Caenorhabditis elegans: one gene and its partners. The protein of the gene in region 1 interacts with the protein of each later gene in a pairwise test. Each region holds a gene or a part of one and is shown in the gene's direction. Other genes may lie near its edges.

Region 1 (7,742 bases):
CGGGTATTAAGAACTATTTCACACAGGAGGAGACGCCTATTCCTTCGAAATTGCAAATTTTGCAAAAGCGTCGGCTCAATGAGAACCGTCCTCAAACGGAACTCAAAGAGCAAAAAACTGAGCCCAAAACAAGATCCCGTCAGTTTGCAATGCTTCGTTGTGGAACGTGTTCTGAAAATTTTGTATCACAATTTTCTTTGGAGCATCACGAGACCCTAAATCATCCCGTGTCGTTTAATTGGTTCTGTTCCGAATGTAATGTTCACTTTGACACTCTACAACAAGCCAGTGACCACACAATGCTGACTCACGGGTGTGGAGAGATGCCGGTGGTGAGAGAAAAAAAAAGAAAAAAAACGTACACATTGGTCGCTTAAAATACATTTTTTTTTGCAGTGTGAGTCAATGCAAAATGCTCGAATACCATCTGGCCCGTTTCTGATGCAAGCCATCACACGCCGTTCCAGTGATTTTGTAAAGGAATTCTTGTTCACCAGAGACAAACAAACAGTGATGACAACCGCATATTACACGTACGCAAAGTGTGAACTGCAGGCAGTTATGTCGGGTAGCATTGGCTTAGTGGTTTACAATCAGGCTAAAAGCGACTTATTGGCAACGGTTAGATAGAGTTCTAAATTTGCAGTTTTTAAAGCAGAACTATTTTTTCAGCTGGAGTCTGCAGATCACGATGATTTTGTGTCGAGCATGAAAAATACATTTATTTACGGGAAATTCATAAAACGTTCGCCTTCGGAAAGCTACGTCCCCTCGGCGACCGTTTTTAAGACACTGACTTTCAGCACAATGCCGCCCCAAGTCAAATTGTAAGAACTACCAAATTTAGGTTTTTAACAATATTTTTCGTTTTAGCAAAAAATCGTCTCGACCGGTTCCACCTGGAAAAAGTCTTGGAGAAGTCGTCTCTAAAATGGCGGCAAGTCAGCCGCAGTACACTGTGCGATCTGCTCCGTACTCAAAGGGTCGAGCGGTAAGATTTTGATAAATGCATTAAGTTACTTGTCATGTCAGAAGGTACTACTACATATTGTATTATCACTATTAGACTTGCTCACCGATTGCTTCACGCTGACAGCTAATATCTCGATTTTCTTTAATTTTATCAAAACATTTTAACTGCGTAATTACGTAAAATAATTTTCAACATATTGACATTGTACTATTTTTGGTACAATTTAAGACAACCGAGATATAAGCTAGCAGGTCTAATAGGACAAGTTTCAGTAGTTACCAAGATTTAAAATACTTCCAAATTCGGATTGTCCAGCATATTTTGTGTGTTTTTTCTTTAGAATACAATAATTACTAATGGGGCTAATCAAGTAATGTCGCGAAATGTAACAAAATGTATTGAAATATACATATGTCCACATTTGTTTTATAAAAAAAAATTTAAAGGGGCGATAATACAATTTACTGTAAAAACTAATAAATAAATCAGATCATCAAAATCCCGACTTCAATTCGTAACCGCAACTACACACTTCCACCTGCAGGCCCACTTCCGCTGCGTCGCACTTTGATTACTACCAACTACACCATGTATCCAGTCAGAAACGCTGTTCAGTGATAATCTCATTTTGAAACTTACCCCCGATTTAATATAGCTACATGTCATTAATCATTTTCTTTTGTCTCACTTAAGTTTTCTGTTACTTTTTTTCTACTTTTAACTTATGCCTCAAGTCACTTCCAAATCAAAACCACGACCTTTTCAAACTCTCTGTTGTTTTTTTTCTGATCCGTGTAATATTATTTATTGTTTCTTTCTTTTTTACTTTTGCAGATTCTCCTAATTGAAAACTTTCAATTGTCATTTTTTTACGGTCCGTTTTAGGAATCGTGTTCTATTTAAATAATTGCCAAAAATAAATCTTTTCAGGTCAATCAATTCGTTTCAATTCTATTACTATATCTTTTGCAAGTGTAAAAATAAAACCAAATAAAATTATTTTTGCTTCCCTGCATTGCAATATAAATAGTGGTGTTCATCGAGAAACGCGCACGCTAACCGGCCACTGGCGTGTTTTTCGTGTACTAGTCACCACAGAAAACTGCAGAGACGCAGAATAACTCCGTATGTTTTTACTGGGCATAACTGTTTCCAATTCCCTGATTTTATTGTTTTCTTTTTTAATGCTTGGTTTAAGTTTAAAATTTTTATTATTCTACTTAATCAATGTGATTATATAAATTTTCAATTTCAGATTTGAATGTCTGCAATCAGGAAGATAATCCAGCGGCAACTTTTCCAGAAAGACGATGAAAGAATTCAAGCAATAGTCAATGTCTCAAAGTTGGATGGAAAAAAGAAGAAAAACCAGACACTACTATGTTTAGCAGGTAAGAATTCTTGGAATTGTCCTGTATAAAAATCGATAACTTGCAGTCACAATCGAGCACCCCATCGCCGTCCGTTTATACTTTGTGAAAGGGGAGAAAGATGATACATTCAAAAAGAAGGACAGGTTCAATTTGAGAGAAGTCAGAGAAATCGACGGAATAAATCCGAAAAAAGTGAGTATTTGAAAATTATATGGATTCACGCAATTTATACGATATATGTAGTGAGCAAATGTGAGCGTAACGAAGAACATAACGCAAAAAATGTGAAGCTTCTCGAATAACTGAGGATTTTCAAGTTTTACGAACACTAATGTTTGATGGAGTTTATCAACCTAAAATAGCTAAAAATTCGCCATTTTGCCGCAACTTTTCAACGATCTTTATCAATTGTAAAAATTGCAATTAGCTAAAGTTAGGTGAGAAGTTGTTGAAAGAATAGTTATTGTACACTAAATTTGTCGAAAAGATGATGCAAATTGCAGGAATTATTTTGACAAAATGGCTTATCAATTAGTTAAATTCGCATTTACTTCAAGTTTTTTTGGGTTTAAAAAAAATTGAGAATTTTATTCAACTGACAAACATTAAAAAAATTCAGGCATCACCAGAGTTCCACATCACTATCGGTGATCATCAATATGTGATTTTGGCTGGTTCCGCTGAGGAAAAGGACGAGTTCATTCGAGAACTCTACAAGGTATCCAACTATAATACTTTCAACTTTTTTACTGAAAATTTCGTATTTTAGTTGTCATGCCAATACCTTCCAGTCCAGATGCCAGATTTCTGCAATTTCTCTCTACCGCAACTTGAATCAGAAACCTCCATTATACCCATTGAGCTTCCTGAGCATGATATGGCGATGCAAAGTGATTATCAGCCAATATCCAACAAGGAGGACGCAGACTTTCGAAAGTTGATTGCGCGAGCTAATTTGACTATTGGTGAAGCACATATTTTTGCCGAAATGCTGACGGAGCAATTGCAATCTCTCGATGGAGCCAACATCAACTCTATGATGGACAGTGAGAATTCCGTAAACCAGTTGCTTTCGAGTATTGATGCAGCATTGACCGGTGTTGAGTCGGTCGAAAAAGAGCTTGATCGTTGTGATGACATTTTGGCGGTACTACATTGTAAAGGAATTTATTGAAATTTTAATCAACTATTTTCAGTTTGTGAGGAACAGTATCGAATTGATCGAAGAGAAAGATAGTTTATCGGTGGTTGAAAGAAAGAACAAGCAACGTCTCAACGAGGAAATCGTTTCATTTGTCAATTCGTTGCAGGCTGTTACTGATTCCCACATTGAGACTCTGAAACAAGCTAACTTCAGTAACCCAGAAAGGTAGAGTGAACAACTTAGAGTTTTCAAGTAATATTATGATACTTCAGTGTTCAAAGATGCACGGACGCTGCACGCGCTGTTGCACAATTCTGGCACGGGAGGATTTCTAAGCCAATGCTTCAAATGAAAGCCTATCAGGACAGAAATGATGAGCTTACCGCAGTGGATGTCTTTGTCGATAGGCTCATGTCTCACCTCTCTGCACTGTTCTCGAATTTGGTAAGTTTCAATGAACGTGTGCTTGCTTGCTCGAGGACCCCCTAAATTGTAGAAGTATTAGAGAATTCCGGAGGTCACGCTCTCGCTAAAGGACCCTCTGAATTTTTTGAAAATTTCAACCAAAATTCTCGAATTTCAGATATTTTACAGCGCATGCGAAGCTTTTTTTACATCACATACCATAATTTCACAATAGATTCACGTTAAAATGTGGAGTTTTTTCAATACATCTATTATAAATTTTAGAAGAATCCTGTAGCAAGCGCGCGCACTGTATAAAATCATTTTCAACGCGTGTTTTTTTTTCAGAACGACTTATCTTTGGATCATGAGTGGCATGAACTGTGTATTCCAAAACAGTCTCAACGCTTTCGCGCCCTTTCTCCACTCTCTGATCTTATCAACTGGCTGAAAACGAACCGTCCAAAGGCTTGCAATTTAGTCTTGCAAAAGTATATCGACAGCACGAATCTACTTTACAAACGTCTATTTGACAATTTCTTTGAGACACTGATCAACAAAGTTCCAAAAGCTAACAGTTCTGAAAAGAAGTCAAGTATGTTTGCTAATATTTGCAGCAAAAAATAATCATCTGATTTCAGAAGCAAATGAATCTGCAAACATTTCACTTCGTTCTGACAACCAGAGTTTCCTGAGCACCTCCAGTGAAATTGATACTGAAGTCTTACCGCAACTCATCGAAACGGTGCTGGCAGAACTGAGCGCTGTGATTGACGCAGAGCAAAAGTTCGTTGTCCGCTTCTTCCACATCAACTCGGAGCTGTTGGCTCAGTTCGATACGACTTCAACTGGAAGCGGTGATAGCTCAAGTCTCGGAGGACGTAGTATGGAGAAACATATGAACGAGCAAGTGAGACACGTTATGGGCAACTTGTTTGACTCGCTCAATATTCATCTTGATAGTTTCTGTCGGGCGGTTTGTAGGCACAATCCTAGGTGAGAAAAGGTACACGTACATATTATTTTAAATTCCTACACATTTTAGCAATGTTCTCCTTTTGTTTGTAATCATGTCGAAGAAAGTGCTTCTACCACAAGACCCAAGCTCCTATTTTTCGATCACATTTGGAAGTTTAGTTGTTCTGATAAAACGCCAGTTTGATGCATTTATTGTGAGTTCCATTTATATGTACTGTAATTGCAATAATCTTCTCTTCCAGCAAATGGAATGTTCCCAGTACTCGGAAGTTCGCATTGCTAAAAAGACTAGAATCGGAATTCTCCCATCAATTTTTCGCTTTGCAAACTTTGTGAGACGTGCTGAAATTATCTTTGAAAATGCCGAGAGAAGAACTGACTTGGAGAAGGCATATTTCAATCTTTGCCGGGCGGTTTGTGACGGGATACAAAAAGCTGCCGCCAATCAATACAGCAAGTCTCCGTCGTCTGTAGTCAAGTTTGAAAATTACCACGAGCTCTATTGTAAGTGTTCTAGGAAACAATAAAGTGTGATGGTGATAAATGTTTCAGTGACTTTGTCGGAGCTAAAAATCTCATGTTTGGATCAACAACGAAAAGATGCGAAAGCGCTCAAGGAAGAACATATTGATGCGTACGTAAAAGAGTTTATGGGTCGTCCACTCAAAGAGATTCAGGTGATATATAAATATGGAAATTTATGTTTCAATACTGTGCTGCCAATGCTTGAAAAAAAACTTGACTATTATGCTTTAAACTAGTTTTTTCTTTCTAATTTTGGCTTGTCATTCTACAACATTTGTAAAAAAAGGCACTCTACCATAGTTTAAAGTTGGAGTACCAAAATTTGAGGCTTTGCTATTTTAGACCCAACAATTCAGCGCATATACGCCCAATAAAAGACCAACAAATTTATTAAAGAGTGATCAATAAATAAAAATTAAGTTCCAGACGCTGCGACACCGAGAAGTTGTAAAAATTGTGATTTTAGCTGCAAAACCTTTTTTCCGACTTTGAACCTCCATAACTTTTTTTGAGGAATTTTCAAAACATCTCATTCGAATTTCGGTACTCCACCTTTAAACAAAAATCTCCCAAAACTATCGATATGTATTCCAAAAATTTCAGACGTTCTTCGACAATGTCAACAACTTTATCGAAACGCGTGGAATTCGTCCTGATGAAATCTCGTATCAACAACAATTCAGTCGCATTGAGCTTAAAAAGGTTGAATTTCTAGTTAATCATCAAAATCGCCATTTCATAAATTTTCCAGGTAATTTCACAACATCCGGGAAAAGAAGTGAAAAAAGGACTCGAGCAACTGTACAAGAAAATTGAGAAGAACCTGGTTGCCAATTCATCACTTTTGCAAGTTGTATGGAGAGATATGCAAGAGCAATTTGTCAAGCAAATTGCGGAATACAACAAACTGATTCTCACTTGTTACCCAGGCTCGAAGATTGAGCTCGAAGTTTCCACTGACACTGTACTTCAGTTCTTCTCAGAAATTGCTCAACAACACTAATATTACGACGAATAATTTTATTGAATTTTGTTGTTTTAATTCATTTAAAATTTAGTTTTAATTTATCAGAACTCTAATACTTACTGAACCATGCTTTGTAATATATTTATTTATCTATTCTGTAATAGGTGAACTTCGTTACATTACTGATGTCTGTAATATAAATTTACGGGTGTTCCCCATTCGAAAATAGTAGTAATGCTTGCTTTTTTGAAAAATAAATGTCTTGCTTGGTGACTTTTATTTCACGTATTTTCAAATGCTCACAAAAATTTCACGGAACTGACTTCTTGGTTACACATTTGTAGAAATTTTGACTGAATGTTTGCATTGAACTGGTCAACTTAAGAATCTGACATGCAAATGGTGTGTTTTCTGAAGAACACACTTTGGCAACTTTTAATAAAAAAGGGGTGTAACACGATTTAAATCTAATAAAAACAACTTCTATAATGTTATTCCGTTTATATCTCACTTTATGTTTTACATTTTACTCTTATATACATTTTTTGACTCATTTATACAGGGTGGTCCATAATTATGGACCACCCTGTACTTATATCTTATTTAAAACTATTTCATGTAAGAATTGTTTTAACAGCGCATTTTTTTTCATCACTCGATTTAAAGGTAAAATTGATAGGCCGCAATCTATTTTGGAAAACTTCAGAACAAAATTTAACATTTTAAGAGGTAACTGTGAAGGTTTATAAGAGAATTATAAACCGATCTAACCACTAAACATGGTAACGTAGAAAAAGTAAAATTAGGGGAGGGGGGATGTTTATTTATTCTTGGTTTTCAATTCTTATCAGACTCTGTAAAGTAAAATGAACATAACTTGTTCGAATAGTGTAGGAATTTCAAACAAGCTACAAATCTAGCTCCACATACGCGTGGAATAGCCGGTCATAAATCGTCTTCCGTTAACCGCATGGCTAGATCCACACCGATTCCATTTTTCTTGAATAAAACAATAGCTTGATGAAAATTGGGTAGCCACCGAAAAAACTGATTCGCGATCCGGATTATTGGTGACAAACATACGGCAAGTGAAAGTGTTGCACTGATAGAAACCGATACGAGAATATGCCTTTTGGGCCCCCCCCCCCCCCCCCCTACGGCTTCACTCCCGGTGTTGTAGATCTGACTTTCACTTGCCTTATCTCGAGGAATCTGGAGAGGAGAAGGAGGGACAACCGATCCGCGCGCGCGTAACAATACGGGAGATATAGAGGAAAAGCAGCAAAAAGACATTTTGATGACCTTATTTTCTTGTCGTTGTCGAGACGGCCATTGTCCCTTCCACGCCCAGCTTTTCATTGTAGTTCAAATCGCTTC
Region 2 (4,310 bases), 2.6 Mb from region 1:
TCGCCATAAAAAGAGTCAATACGGTTTTGAAGCGATTTTGAGATGTATGCAGTTTTTGAGCAGTGGGCAAAAATGGACGAAGATGAAAAAACATTTGGCACATTATAAGCATTTGGGGGAACAATTATTTTTTGGTTTTTTAAGTTTTGGTTTTTGCTATTTCTACATGTGGTGTGTTAGATGTGTTCGATGTGTTCGCGACATTGAATGACGGAACACGGTACTCGACGGTAGACTTTAAATATGCTTACCTTTAAGTCAAGTTGGCTGATGAGTCAAAGCCACTGTTCACGGTGAATACGCACAGAGGCTTGAATGAGAACCAAAGGTTAACATTTGGTGCAAAACCATCTGCCAACAGGGCTATCCGGATACTTTTGTTTCGGATAATGGGACACAGTTTGTGTCGAAAGAGTTTGCCGAAATGTGCGCAGCTACGGTATTGAGCACAAAAGGTCACCAGCGTTTCATCCATAGTCAAATGGACAAGTCGAGCGCTTTCCCGACACGTTGAAAAGAGGGTTGAAAAAGTTAAAAGGTGTCAATAGTGAAATAATGTCACAATTTCTGCTTCACTACCGAGCAACGCCGTCAAATGCTCTTGGAGGATTGACACCGGCGGAAGTGCATATTGGAAGACGTCTCAGAACGAGAACGTCTCTGATGATGCCAAGAAAAGATCATTCTGAAGATTCTACAGCTTCCACGTTAGCTATGAAAGATCAGTTTGATAAGCATAATAGAGCAAAAGCAAGATATTTTCATGAAGATGAAAAAGTGTTTGCTAAAGTGTACGAAAGAAATAGCTGGTCATGGAAACCAGGAAAAGTTGCTAACAAGCAAGGAAAAGTAGTATATGTCAACATATTAGATGATGGAAGAGAAAGAGCGGTTCATGCAAATCAGCTAAAGCCAAGAGTTGATGAAAAAGAGACCGTCAGGGTAAATGCATGGAAAGATACTATGAGTGACACTTCTGAGTTGTTACCATATGATAACGAGGATTATGAAGTTATTGAAAGAAAGACTAAATTGCCAACTATCATGCCAACACTGAAGGAGGACAATTCTGGAAGTTCAAGTTCAACGACTCCAGCTCAGCCAGTTCAGTCGCCAGTTGTTCAAGGACCAGTTCAAGGAGATCACGCTCAGCAGCAGGATGCTCTGGTTCTTTTGCCGAATGCTCGAGGACCATCACGTGCAACATCGCCAGTTCCGATTAGACGATCTACGAGACAGCATTCGATCAGATTCGATCCATGTGCATAGACACGTTCATGTCTATATAATTAATTACCCAATCTTTTGTTCTACGTACCCCCAAGTTTATTTATACAAAGGGTGGTGTTGTGTGTTACTATTAGGGTGAGCAAAAAATGTTACTATTAGGGTGAGCAAAAAACAAAAAAAGATTTTTTGTATTTTCTCAGTTTTCATCCTTTCTCAAATATTTAGTATGTGGTACATAGTAGTCTGTTAGTAGTACAAAATATATTGATGTCATATATTTCCGCCAACTTCCAGACTGATTGATCCTCAAAACTACGTTCAAAAAAATTTCCAATTTTTTCGATTTTTTCGGATTTTTTAAGATTTTTTCGGATTTTTTCGGAAAAAATCGCAAAAAAAAACGCATAAAATCGATAAAAAACACGACCTCTAAGCTACTCACACGTAGAATGAATCCAAATTTTCTGGATTTTTTCGGATTTTTTCGGAAATATATCAAGCGTTCTTCAAAATAAATTTGAATGTTACTCCAAGGTTTTCCCCCGGAAAAATCGTTGCACCCCCATAAAATGATGACTAATCAGAATGGCTGAGTTCTGCAGATACTCCGTGTGTTAAGTGGGAGGAGTGAATGACATGGAGTTCATTCGTCATGGGACGCTATGTTGGCTTACTATTCTGAGCTTTATTATTTCCACTCACATTCTCGCTCACTAAAATATTTCTCATACATCATCGGTTCTCAAATTTTGCGATTAAATTAATGAAATATTACAGAATGTTAACCGGGCAAAAAATGCAAATCCCTTGCCCATCCGTCCCCGCTGATGAAGAAGTCTGCGAGAACCCACCAAAAGAAATCGGTGACGAAGAATACGACCAAGTCATCATTCAATCCATGATGGACGAAGCGAATAGAGATCAGAAGGGGTATTGGATCCGGTTGATGGAAGAAGGAGATGCTCATCCAGCGCGAAAGCAAAGTTAGTTACTCCAGCCATATTGTCAAAAATGAAAAAACTTTCACCAATGCAGTTAATATCTGATAAGTTAATCCTTAAGTATGAAGAGAGGATGCCGGTATGCCTCAGGGCTGTGCAGCAGTTAGATTAGCCGTGCCGTAAAATTTTCGGCAACCGGTAAGGTGCGTTTTTCTAAACAAAAAATGAAATAAATAGTTTTCATTTGTTGAAGTTTCCAAAAAAACTGTTTGACAATCGACAATTGAAGCTCTGGTAGTAATTTACTATTAAATCTCTGCGCATCCAGCTTTGAAGTTTCTAAAGGGAATGCGCGTCCCACATCAGTCAAGGACCGCGACGAATGACTCGTGCCTCTTGAGCAGGTTATGGCTGAATATGAAGCACATCTATCATGTAAATAGTATCAATTTTTGTTAAAATACTGTAAAGTTTCGGCTTGTCCTTAGGCGCGAACGACATCCGCTAGCTGCTGACATTGTGAAACGATATTGTAAAAAATCCTTAACGAAAGTCCCGCCGGAGATCAGTTGTTCTTTTGATATATGACTTTTCCGACTGTGTGGTGGAATTCTGTAAAACACCAAACAAACCATAATTTATCTCTCTTTCTTTTCAGTGGGAAAAGTAGACTTTCGTAACTTCCTGAACATGCGCTACGAGAGAACCAGCCGATCGAGCTGTAGCGAAATTCAACGACTCAACCAGACTTATGATTGGCTCCGCGAGTTCCACTTTGGATGGGAGAGAGAGATCTTTGTCGTCTACACCCATTTCGATCATCCGGCCTCGTTCGTCATTGAGAAACTCTTCTTGGACCATATGAATTTATCAATTTCTGAATTTGAAGATCAGACCAGCTACACAAGCAAGACGACTTCCCGTAACACCAAGTACATCGATTATTACAAGCTGTCGCAGTTGATGAAAGACTTTGTCCCGTTGGATATCAGTTTCTTCAGATAATTGTTTTTTTTTTAATTTTTGGACTTTACTCTTCCCCTCCTGTCACTACATAGATTATTAAATTTCATCACTTTTATTTTTTATATTAAGTGTGAGTATGATTATTCAATAAATTATCTTGAAACAGAACATACAAGTTTAGAAGTTCAATCAACAGTCATGTTTCGTCATATCAATATGCCTTGGCGATTTATGAAAAACAGAAAGAAGTTGCCTGTAAGCATTTCTCAGAAAATAATGTACTCAATCACGATAGACATTCGGATCTAGTTATTTTTTTTCTTGTAAGTATTACTATTTCTCGTTGGCGTTGACGCAGTCAAACTGAAGGATCTTGTCGTACGTTTAATTTTTATGCAATAGCAGTATACCACCAAAAATACATTTCCCATTTCTATGTTAAATTGTTCTTTATCTTAATTGAAACGAAAGGTTGTTTTGCATTTTTACGCAGAGAAAACTACCATATCTAGCCCTAACATTGTAGCAAAGCTCACGGTAATAATTTTTGGTAACTATTGTCAAAATACAAGAACTGTCACATGAAATTTGACTGCAGGTGATGACAGAAACAGGAGAATGAAAAACGCTAGAAACAGCAGTTTTTGCGCTGTATCATCGCATTTTCTTGTCTCCCGTTTCTGCCATCACCCGCGGGGCCAGCTGTTTTTTCGGCATGCGGAATTGAGAGAAAAAATTTCGCGCGCGTTGCTGCAGTCAAATTTCATGCGGCAGTTTTTATGTTTTGATAATATGTATTTCAATGAATAACATTTTTGGGGTACGGCTACTTCATAAGTTTCAACTTTTTCGTAATTGATTCACGCATCTGCTTAAATAAGTATAGACAATAACCCTGAATTTAGCGTGACCCAGTGATACTAGTAGAACTCACAATCAGGAGACCGTTTTTCTCACAAGGTTTTCATGTCTTCCAATACAACTAGGAAACGTAAGGAGTGTGAAAATTTGAATAAGTTTTTTTTTTAAATTTAAATTTAAATCTTCTCAGATTTCAGGAGTATATTTTGTTTTATAGGACTATTGAAATATGTCAGGTAAAAACAAAAAAAGGGGGGGGGGGGCAAATTGATCAAATAAATGGCAGAGCAGGATCAATAGAAAAAAAACAAA
Region 3 (8,350 bases), 530 kb from region 1:
ATTTATCAGTATTCAGTTTTCTAAAAAAATTTTTTTAAAAACTGGTACTATGAAACTAAAAAAAGGATTAAAAAGGATTAAAGGACGATCCGTTCTTCAAGTGCTATGCACTGCGGATCTGGGATTCAGGTACACTGCCTGGTGGTGATCCCTCTGGGCTGTAATTTAAGCCACGTCCTAGCCGGGGACTGTGGCCGATAATCCAGTCGTGGATTGCTCCACTTCCCAATAGAGGCTGGGTGAACCTAGGGGGTGAGGCCGGACTTGAACTCGTGACCTCCAGACTGCTAGCGGCCACCACTACCGACTGAGCTATCTGCCCCCGAAAATTGAAACTAAAAATCGGAAATCAATAAAACTATTCAAAACATTGCGCAATAACTCTAAAATCAAGCCAGATAGTTCATCTGCGGCAACATTAGAACTCTTTTTTAATAATTGATGATTGGGTGCGAATAGTCTGATAGTGGGGCAAACTTATCACCTGACATAAAATTCCTCACACTCTCCAACCCACATGATAAATCGCTGGTCCTCTTTTTTCGACAGATTGGAGTTTGAATGCGTGATCGGATGTAGGTGAAGAGATGGAACTCATTGAGAAAAGTTTCTCTTTTTATTTTGCTCAATCTATACTTATATCGACCACACATACATCATCCCCTTTTTTGTTGTGAGAAAAAATATGTCAATCTTCGTAGAGATTGAACTTAGTAGATAAGTATTGTTGCAAGGATTTTCTACATGATTTTTCTAAATAAATTCACAACAAAAACAATTTTTTCTTATGCTTTTTTCAAAATAAAGCGGAAAAGTGAAAAAGAAAAACGACATGGTTGGTTGGTCAACGGATTTCTAGGACTACCTCATTAATCACTATTGCTTCCTGATGTACTCGACAAATCTCCTGAAGCAGCTGTATTCTGGTGGTTGTTGAAACGAGATCTACCAATTAATACCGAAAAATAATGCATCTAGAAGAGCACAAGGAAGTGGAGCAGTACTACTCTAGTGTAGAATCCAGAGAGTAATTTGATTATCATAGTCTCATGGTCGGGAAGAGCAAGAAGTTGAGAAGTTATGAGAAACCAATTGTGAAAGACTCTGTGACACACTGGTCTACTGGGACCAAACGTGTTCGAAATTTGAGCGAAAAAACGAAAGAAGAATCGAAGAAGAGCCGAGATTTTTCTGAACAGATTAAGGTCAATGCAGAAAAACGGAACAGAAATAAGAAAAATTGTTTTCAGCATATCATCCTCACCATTGTTTTTTCTAGGTTCGTCATGCAAATGAGGAGTCCGGGAGAGCTTTTGTCGTTTTTTTCTTTTTTGGATGAAAAATATGAAGTGACCGGAGTAGGTGATAAACAGGTCCCTGGAGAAAAATCAGGAGCTTCAGCCTCCAGTCTTTCAGGAGCAAAAGTGAAGGACACGTTTTGGACATGATGCCAGAAAACTTGCAGGCATCGCAACATTTTTCTTTTTCCGCTGTTTTTTTTGTTTTTTTTTCACATCTTTTGACAGAAATACATTGGTGTCTTTTAACTGTTCCGAGGGAATTGAAACTTTCTATCCTTTCGTTTCGAGTGATTTGTCCTTTTTGTCTCCAAAAACATAGAACGAAAAATTTCAAAAGATTTGGGATACGTACACTATCGGGACTGTGATTTCTCCAGAAAGTGAAAAACAAAAACTATGACTGTATTTATGAACATTTCAGAAAAATATAAGTGTACGGGCTCAACTTTTTGTGAGCAATATTCTTAAATGTTTTGGTTAATGAATTTGTTTTTTTTTAATTTTTGTTCATTTGCAACGTTTCTATCAGAAACGTTGCAGTATGGGCATTGTTTCAAGAATTTCCAGGAACTTTTTTTAAAAATATTTCAACATTAAGTTTCAAAATACTAATCAGATTCACATAATAAAAATTGAAAAAAAATTTTGGGACCTGCTACTACATCGTTCTGTGAATCCGTGGAACCGAAGACTCGGAGCTTTTTTTTTGGTCGTTCTCAGTTTTCAGTTACGGATCTTGAGTCTAATTTTTTTTGCCCAGCAAAACATTCTACAAAATTTTGTCAGCTCGTTTTTTTCACAATATTTTATTAACTCAACTCAAAAAAAATTAAAGCTGATGACATGTCGCAAGTTTATTTCTAACAAATATGTGTGCAACTTTTAATAAATTGGGTTTTTTTTCGAAACAAGTTTCACTACTGAAATAGTCTATGCGATGAGACTGCCCCGCCAGAACTTTTTTTTGAAACTTGTTGATATCAATTTGGCGACAGCAAAAATGTAAAAAATATTATGCACAAAATTTCCGTCGTTAAAACTTTTTTCCCAAAATCCGCAGTTTTCAAGTTATAATATTAGGAAAAATTGGAAAATCACCCAAATACAGAAAGCAAAAACATCAAATTTGTTGTTCAAAAGTTACACCGATCGACTTTTGATCACTACTGTGTGTTCAGGTATGTTACATACATTACTCATATTTACTAGATCTATACCTGCATTTCTAGAATGGAGAACAACTCTACGATTTTTGTGCGAGATTAACCGAGATCGCTTCACGTGGGTGACAGATTTATCCGCCCGCATATTCATTCAAAATTGTACCTGATCACAGTAGATCAATACCAAAAAAGAGATTAAACTACTTTCAAAGAACGCATCTCTCCGCCTTCATGAAAGTACCATTTCATTTCATTGTTCGCAAATTTTCATTCACAAAATTATCGCGTTTGAAAATGACCAATATTGTTCCGAGAATACTTGGTTTTGTCCTATTTGTACTAGGAGCTGCTATTTTTTTGACGGAAGTCATGCATTCTTATCATCGATTTGTGAAACAATCCGAGGAATATTCAATATCTAACTCGAATACCGACGATGCTCCAACGAAGAAAAAACAGATGAAGGCATTTTTCAGTTTATACCACAATATGGATGAACTAAAAGCGCAAAACAGTGACGTAAGTTTTAGATTTGAATTTTGGGAAGCTGTTCTTTCAATAATGTGTTGGGTAGAAGCCGTATCAAAAAGTGAACATTTCTAAACACGGAAGTTCAATTTTTTTATTATTGCATAGGTTTAGAATAAAAACTTCATAGCCTAAGCTGAAAGTTATCCAGTATTAATGTTTTAAAGATACCGCCCATTGGTCTAAATACACTTGTAGTCTAACATGTCCGAATATTATATGAAAATACTTTAATTTTTTTCCAATTTCACAAACTTATAATTGGCGAAATTCCCATCAATGTGAGCTTTTTGAAAAGCTTCGAGCATTGCCGCAATCTCTATAATGTTCAAATGAAAATAAGTAAAACATAATTAGATCATAAAAATCTTTTAAAAAAGTTCTGAACAAACTTAACGGAAAATGAAAACTGAGTTTACACCTTTTTTGATGGCACTTAAAAATATTTCAAACAATTTTTGAAAATGCTTGAAAAATATACCTATTTTTGAGGTCAAGAATTTCTTGGAAACTCAGAAATTCGTGTCTAGGAAAATATTAGCATCACACATACTTGAACAGGTCATGTTTTTGGCGTCGCTTCTAGAGATCAAATTGAGAGGGTACAATGTGAATGCAATAACCCTGTTAAATTCTTCACAATATAACTATAACACTGCCAATTTTTTTGGGTAATCTCCTCCTTACAAAAAAATTGGGCACACTGTAGAGAATGGCTGAAAAAATTGGAAAAAAAGAGCTAGTGTAGATATTTCCAAAATTTGTTTTTTAATGCCACATTTTACAAAAATTTGAATTTTGTGAGTAAACGTAAGAATTTGGAAATTCAAATAATTGAAACATTATTAAGTTTTTGAGCAACTGCTTTCACTTCCAATTGTTTGACCTAACTATTTTACAGACACCCAATACATTTGTTTTTCAAAACGCTCTTCAAATATATTATAGGCACATTTCAGGTAGTTCAACCACGTGTTTTAAAAGGAACCGCTCGAGAGTTTTGCAACAACACAGATCACTGTATTCGCCCATTTTTAAACCATGAGACCAGATATCGAGTGAGACACCAATGCAAAGATCATAATTCTAACTTTTATGTTAAAGGTCGCGCCGGATTACAAAATGGCCCACTGTGTAGTTCACAAGAGTATGTCTACGGTTATAACCGGGATCTGGTGTTATTTGTTCAATAGAAACCGTTTTGTGAGAGTCGATAAGCAAATGAACATGTCCGAATGGGATAAAGAATCGTGAGTGAGGGAGCAAAGATTGAAGATTTGAAGATTGTTTAAGAGTGAAAAACTATTTAAAAATTTAAGGCTCTGCCGAGGCGACAACACATTTCGTCATTTGAAGAGTCTTCAGAAAAAATATAATGCGAGTGAAATGACTGGATGGAGTTTGTCAATGATAACACGAGATCCCATTGACAGATTCATATCGGGTTATGTGGATAGATGCATAAGGTTCGTCTAAAAGTCCAAGTCCACAACAACTTCTTCCCCCATCAACTACCCTCTCACCCCTCTTTACTTTTTCTTCTTATTGTCACATTGCAGAGTGGCTGAGGGACCGAGTCCGTGCAACGGATGCGATAAGAATATGACATGCTTCATTTTGAGCGAGTATGAAAGATTCAAAAAGCAAGCCCACAAAGGGGTTCTCACAAACACTTTTGAGGATCGACACTTTTATCCGCAGAATTGGTGAGAGGAAGACTATTGAATTATTAAGATTCTCGCGTTTTTCTGAATGATACCCACAACAAAGAAAAGGGTAAAAACGTCAAAGAAACTTTTTGTGTGGAAGGGTTTGTCGTAAAAAATCAAAAAACGCGAAAAGTTTTGCATTAGAAATCTAACAACATATTTCTATGAACGCGCTTTTCTAACACTACCATGTTTATTCTATATTAACATGACTGCAATATTAATTTTGAGACACGTTCTCGCGCGCAATACTCATAGAGAGTACAAACTGACAAACATTCACTTGAAAACAAGTAAAATCCAAAATTGTTTCAGACATTTGATATTTCCCATTTTGTAATAAAAACCACATTTTCCTTATAACTAATTTGTACTTTTGTTCATAGTATAATTTTGAAAAAAATTTGACGCAACAGTCTGAGAAAATGAAATAAGTAGTCTCACATTCAATTAAATTAGCGATCGACCTGTGTATGATCACTAAAAAAGGATTGAAGTTTAACATTTCAAAAAAATCCCATTTTTGTAATTTTTATGGAAAAATATCAGCAACTCCGTTAGTCATGTCAAAATTTCTTTAAAGCGACAGTACAATCTTAAATATTAGTAGTGAAGCCGAGTACTGGTCACCAGCACAAGTGGGAATGTTTCATGACACTCTAGGAGATTTCAGGAAAAATGGATGGTTTAAAATTTAATGAAAGAGTTCTAAGATAATCTCAAATTGTTTTAAAAAACAGGAATACCACCAGTGGATGTTTTTTTTTCAAAATATACTTTACAGACAATGTGAAATCAAAAAGACACTTTTTAAATCCAGTCAAAGTTTTGGCAAGTTATGATAGTCTCAGAAAGTTTGGACATTTTCACTTAAAAACTTTTGCTGATTATTTTCCAAAATCACGATGTATTTTAATTGATATTCCGACTGCTTTATGAAAGTCTTTTAAAAAGTTTAATGTTGATATTGTATACTTTAGCATTACTGGTGATACTCCACATTTCAAATATGTATCAAGTGTAAGCGAATTTATAAATTATGATACTTGTGTATTACATGCCCTCATTTTCAAATTAAATTATATTTTACTAATTTCACCAATTAAATTAAACATGATATACATTTTTCCTTTTTAAGCTTAGAAAATGTTGTTTCCTAAGCCTAAAAATATAAAATTGTGGTTCACGTCTTTATTTTTCATAACTTGAAAAATTACTTTAAAAGTGAGGGCATGTAATACACAAGCACCTAAATTATTTTGGGCGATATTTCAGTAGCAGTGCACACACATTATCCTAACTTTTACAAAGCATGAATCGATTTCTCGGATTTCTCAAATTAAAAATAAAAATATCATTTGAATATAATACACCTAGAGTAAGACTCTGATTTTTCTATAAAATTACAAAAAAAATTTCAAAATAACAACGTACAAATTTTCCAGGAGATGTGATATCAAGACAATGCGAAATAAATATGAATTTATCAGATATTCAAGTGATGCATCGAAAGAACTCATGGAAGACTTATTCAAAATTGCTAGACGTCAAGGGGTGAGTGAGGTTGAAAATACCGGCCGGCTCATTAAAGTTATGAAAATAGTTTGTTTTGGAACACAAGCCGTGATGAAGCCACTTTTCGTTATTTTTTTATACTGCGGGTTTTGTGGCAGCATGAAAAAAATGCTGAGATGAAGATAAACATCAAATAACAATTCACTTTTATGGTCATGAATTACATTTTTGTTTCACTTATGCTTTACCTTTTTATTTTTCAGATTCCAGAAAAGGAGTTGGAATATATTGAAAATGAACTAACCAAAAACCGAAAAACTTCACATACGACCGCTTATTCGCCGGCCAGAGAGTTTTTCCAAAGGAGGTAGGTATGCAAAATAGGAGGAAAATGACATTTTGTCCGAAAAGTTGTGGTGAACTTGTGACTCGGCATGGTGGTGCGGAAATAAGAAGCATCTCAGAAATCATGACATTATTTGACGCTTTCTTTTTCCGGCGATTCACTATTTTCTGGTTCTAAAATGCAGATGCTTTACCCTCGGTAATGGGTGGTACAATTTGGGGGGTCTTCGTCTTTATGTGAAATTCAAGAATGTGCCTCACGAATTTGTTTTTGCAGACTCCGAGAGAGCCCACTGTTAATGGAATACGTGGTGCGAATGTTCTACCACGACTTTGTCATTCTCAATTACCCATTGCCGGAGGGCTTCTAATAGCCAAAAAATACTATATTGGATTACCATATCCCAATGTGCCATATTTATTGTAAAAGTCTGATAATGTGCCATTCAGTTACCAAGTATGCACCAAATTCGTTTTTTTTCTCAATTTTGTCATCGATAAACCCTTTTTTGGCTAAAACGTCACACAGGTATTACCACAAATCCCACACAATCCTTTCATAATTTGGTACTTTGGAAGTTTCATTTATTTTCAATTATGTTCGCCCCACACACGAATATCATGTCGATTGCAAGAGTTCTTATCATAATAGCTTCGATTTCTGTAATTTGTATAACATTATTCATATCGCGACCTGTTACACGTGAGAGTTCAATTATAATTGCTCCTAAAACACGGGATATGCGAGCTGAACAAATTCGCCTGTTTGCATTAAATGCGATGGTTAAAGCCAATTCTCATGTGAGTTTTTTAAAAGTTAATCAGGTAACAATTTGAAACATTTAGACAAAGAAACCTTGTTCCTACTCCGAAACTAGCCGTATATTGTTAATGAACTATGTAATAGACATGATACAAAACAATTTCCAATTAATTCTGAAATTAAAAGGTTTGCCAAAAAATACCTTTATATTTTGACATTTACTTCTGTCTCGCTCACAGTAAGAATAACGTTTTTGGACTTTTTTTACTTCCGTACACCTAAAATAACCACAAAAAGTAAAATTTAGACATAGCTTTCGAAAGTTGTTTCAGAGTTTTAAAAATGAAATATGCAAGCGTTATTCGTTTTTGTTTTGTGACATCTAGTATAACTATTGCTACTCCGTGTAGTGTACAAAATTGCTACTGATATTTAGAATTCATATATAGTGTTTCTGAACGAAGTTTGAAAACTATTTGATAACAGTGCTGAAAAATCAATATTTTCAAGAATGAATAGATTTGAACAAAATAGATTAATTCTAAGATTTATAGTAGCGTTTCTACCAACAAACCCTTCAAAATTGAAGCTTTGAAAATATGATTTTTTAGTACGGTTGATCTCTTTCCCATTTTTAAAAAATATATAATTCATTCTCGTTATTACAAAAATTAAATAACATCACAGAATAGTCAACGGGAAGAAGGAAAAAAATGGTAAAGTGATACTATAAACCATCAAATAGTTAGGGGGATTAAGTTGGGAGAATAAGTTTACAAAGGTGAATCACATTCAAACGGAACGCAAAAATCAAACGGTTTCACGTAGAAAGCTGCTATTTTGGGCTCCAATAGGTTTCAGCATAAAGGGATATCTCGTTGATTGAGTTTCAGGGACAAATGGCGTAAAATAGTAATTGCCGGAAATAATATTATGATAGGTTCTGAAGATTTGTAGAAATTTGTAGAAGTGACTTATGTTGAATAGATTTCATATTGGCTTGAGCAAGACGATCTTCATCAGATG

What was found. Proteins that work in one complex are often made in the same cells at the same time.
Region 2: the proteins of sec-3 (region 1) and F28C10.1 interact in a two-hybrid assay, tested with the Caenorhabditis elegans proteins (one large-scale study listed by BioGRID).
Region 3: the proteins of sec-3 (region 1) and C18B2.2 interact in a two-hybrid assay, tested with the Caenorhabditis elegans proteins (one large-scale study listed by BioGRID).

The regions. Positions count from the first base shown.
Region 1 is NC_003284.9:3,094,330-3,102,071, reverse strand, and holds sec-3 (Exocyst complex component 1), read left to right. Parts: upstream 1-2,219; 5' UTR 2,220-2,234; coding exon 2,235-2,364; intron 2,365-2,410; coding exon 2,411-2,538; intron 2,539-2,965; coding exon 2,966-3,064; intron 3,065-3,115; coding exon 3,116-3,493; intron 3,494-3,542; coding exon 3,543-3,715; intron 3,716-3,762; coding exon 3,763-3,934; intron 3,935-4,008; exon of another isoform or gene 4,009-4,144; intron 4,145-4,243; coding exon 4,244-4,490; intron 4,491-4,536; coding exon 4,537-4,891; intron 4,892-4,940; coding exon 4,941-5,067; intron 5,068-5,115; coding exon 5,116-5,377; intron 5,378-5,425; coding exon 5,426-5,550; intron 5,551-6,001; coding exon 6,002-6,100; intron 6,101-6,149; coding exon 6,150-6,401; 3' UTR 6,402-6,644; downstream 6,645-7,742. Other genes in the region: ztf-13 (C2H2-type domain-containing protein), read left to right, coding at 1-332, 397-621, 673-827, 874-991, 1,463-1,591.
Region 2 is NC_003284.9:541,081-545,390, forward strand, and holds F28C10.1 (Sulfotransfer_1 domain-containing protein), read left to right. Parts: upstream 1-2,026; coding exon 2,027-2,213; intron 2,214-2,829; coding exon 2,830-3,176; downstream 3,177-4,310.
Region 3 is NC_003284.9:3,621,158-3,629,507, forward strand, and holds C18B2.2 (sulfotransferase family protein), read left to right. Parts: upstream 1-2,304; 5' UTR 2,305-2,758; coding exon 2,759-2,983; intron 2,984-3,951; coding exon 3,952-4,050; intron 4,051-4,096; coding exon 4,097-4,242; intron 4,243-4,311; coding exon 4,312-4,458; intron 4,459-4,551; coding exon 4,552-4,698; intron 4,699-6,146; coding exon 6,147-6,255; intron 6,256-6,479; coding exon 6,480-6,583; intron 6,584-6,838; coding exon 6,839-6,932; 3' UTR 6,933-7,158; downstream 7,159-8,350. Other genes in the region: Putative sulfotransferase vep-2, read left to right, coding at 7,159-7,362.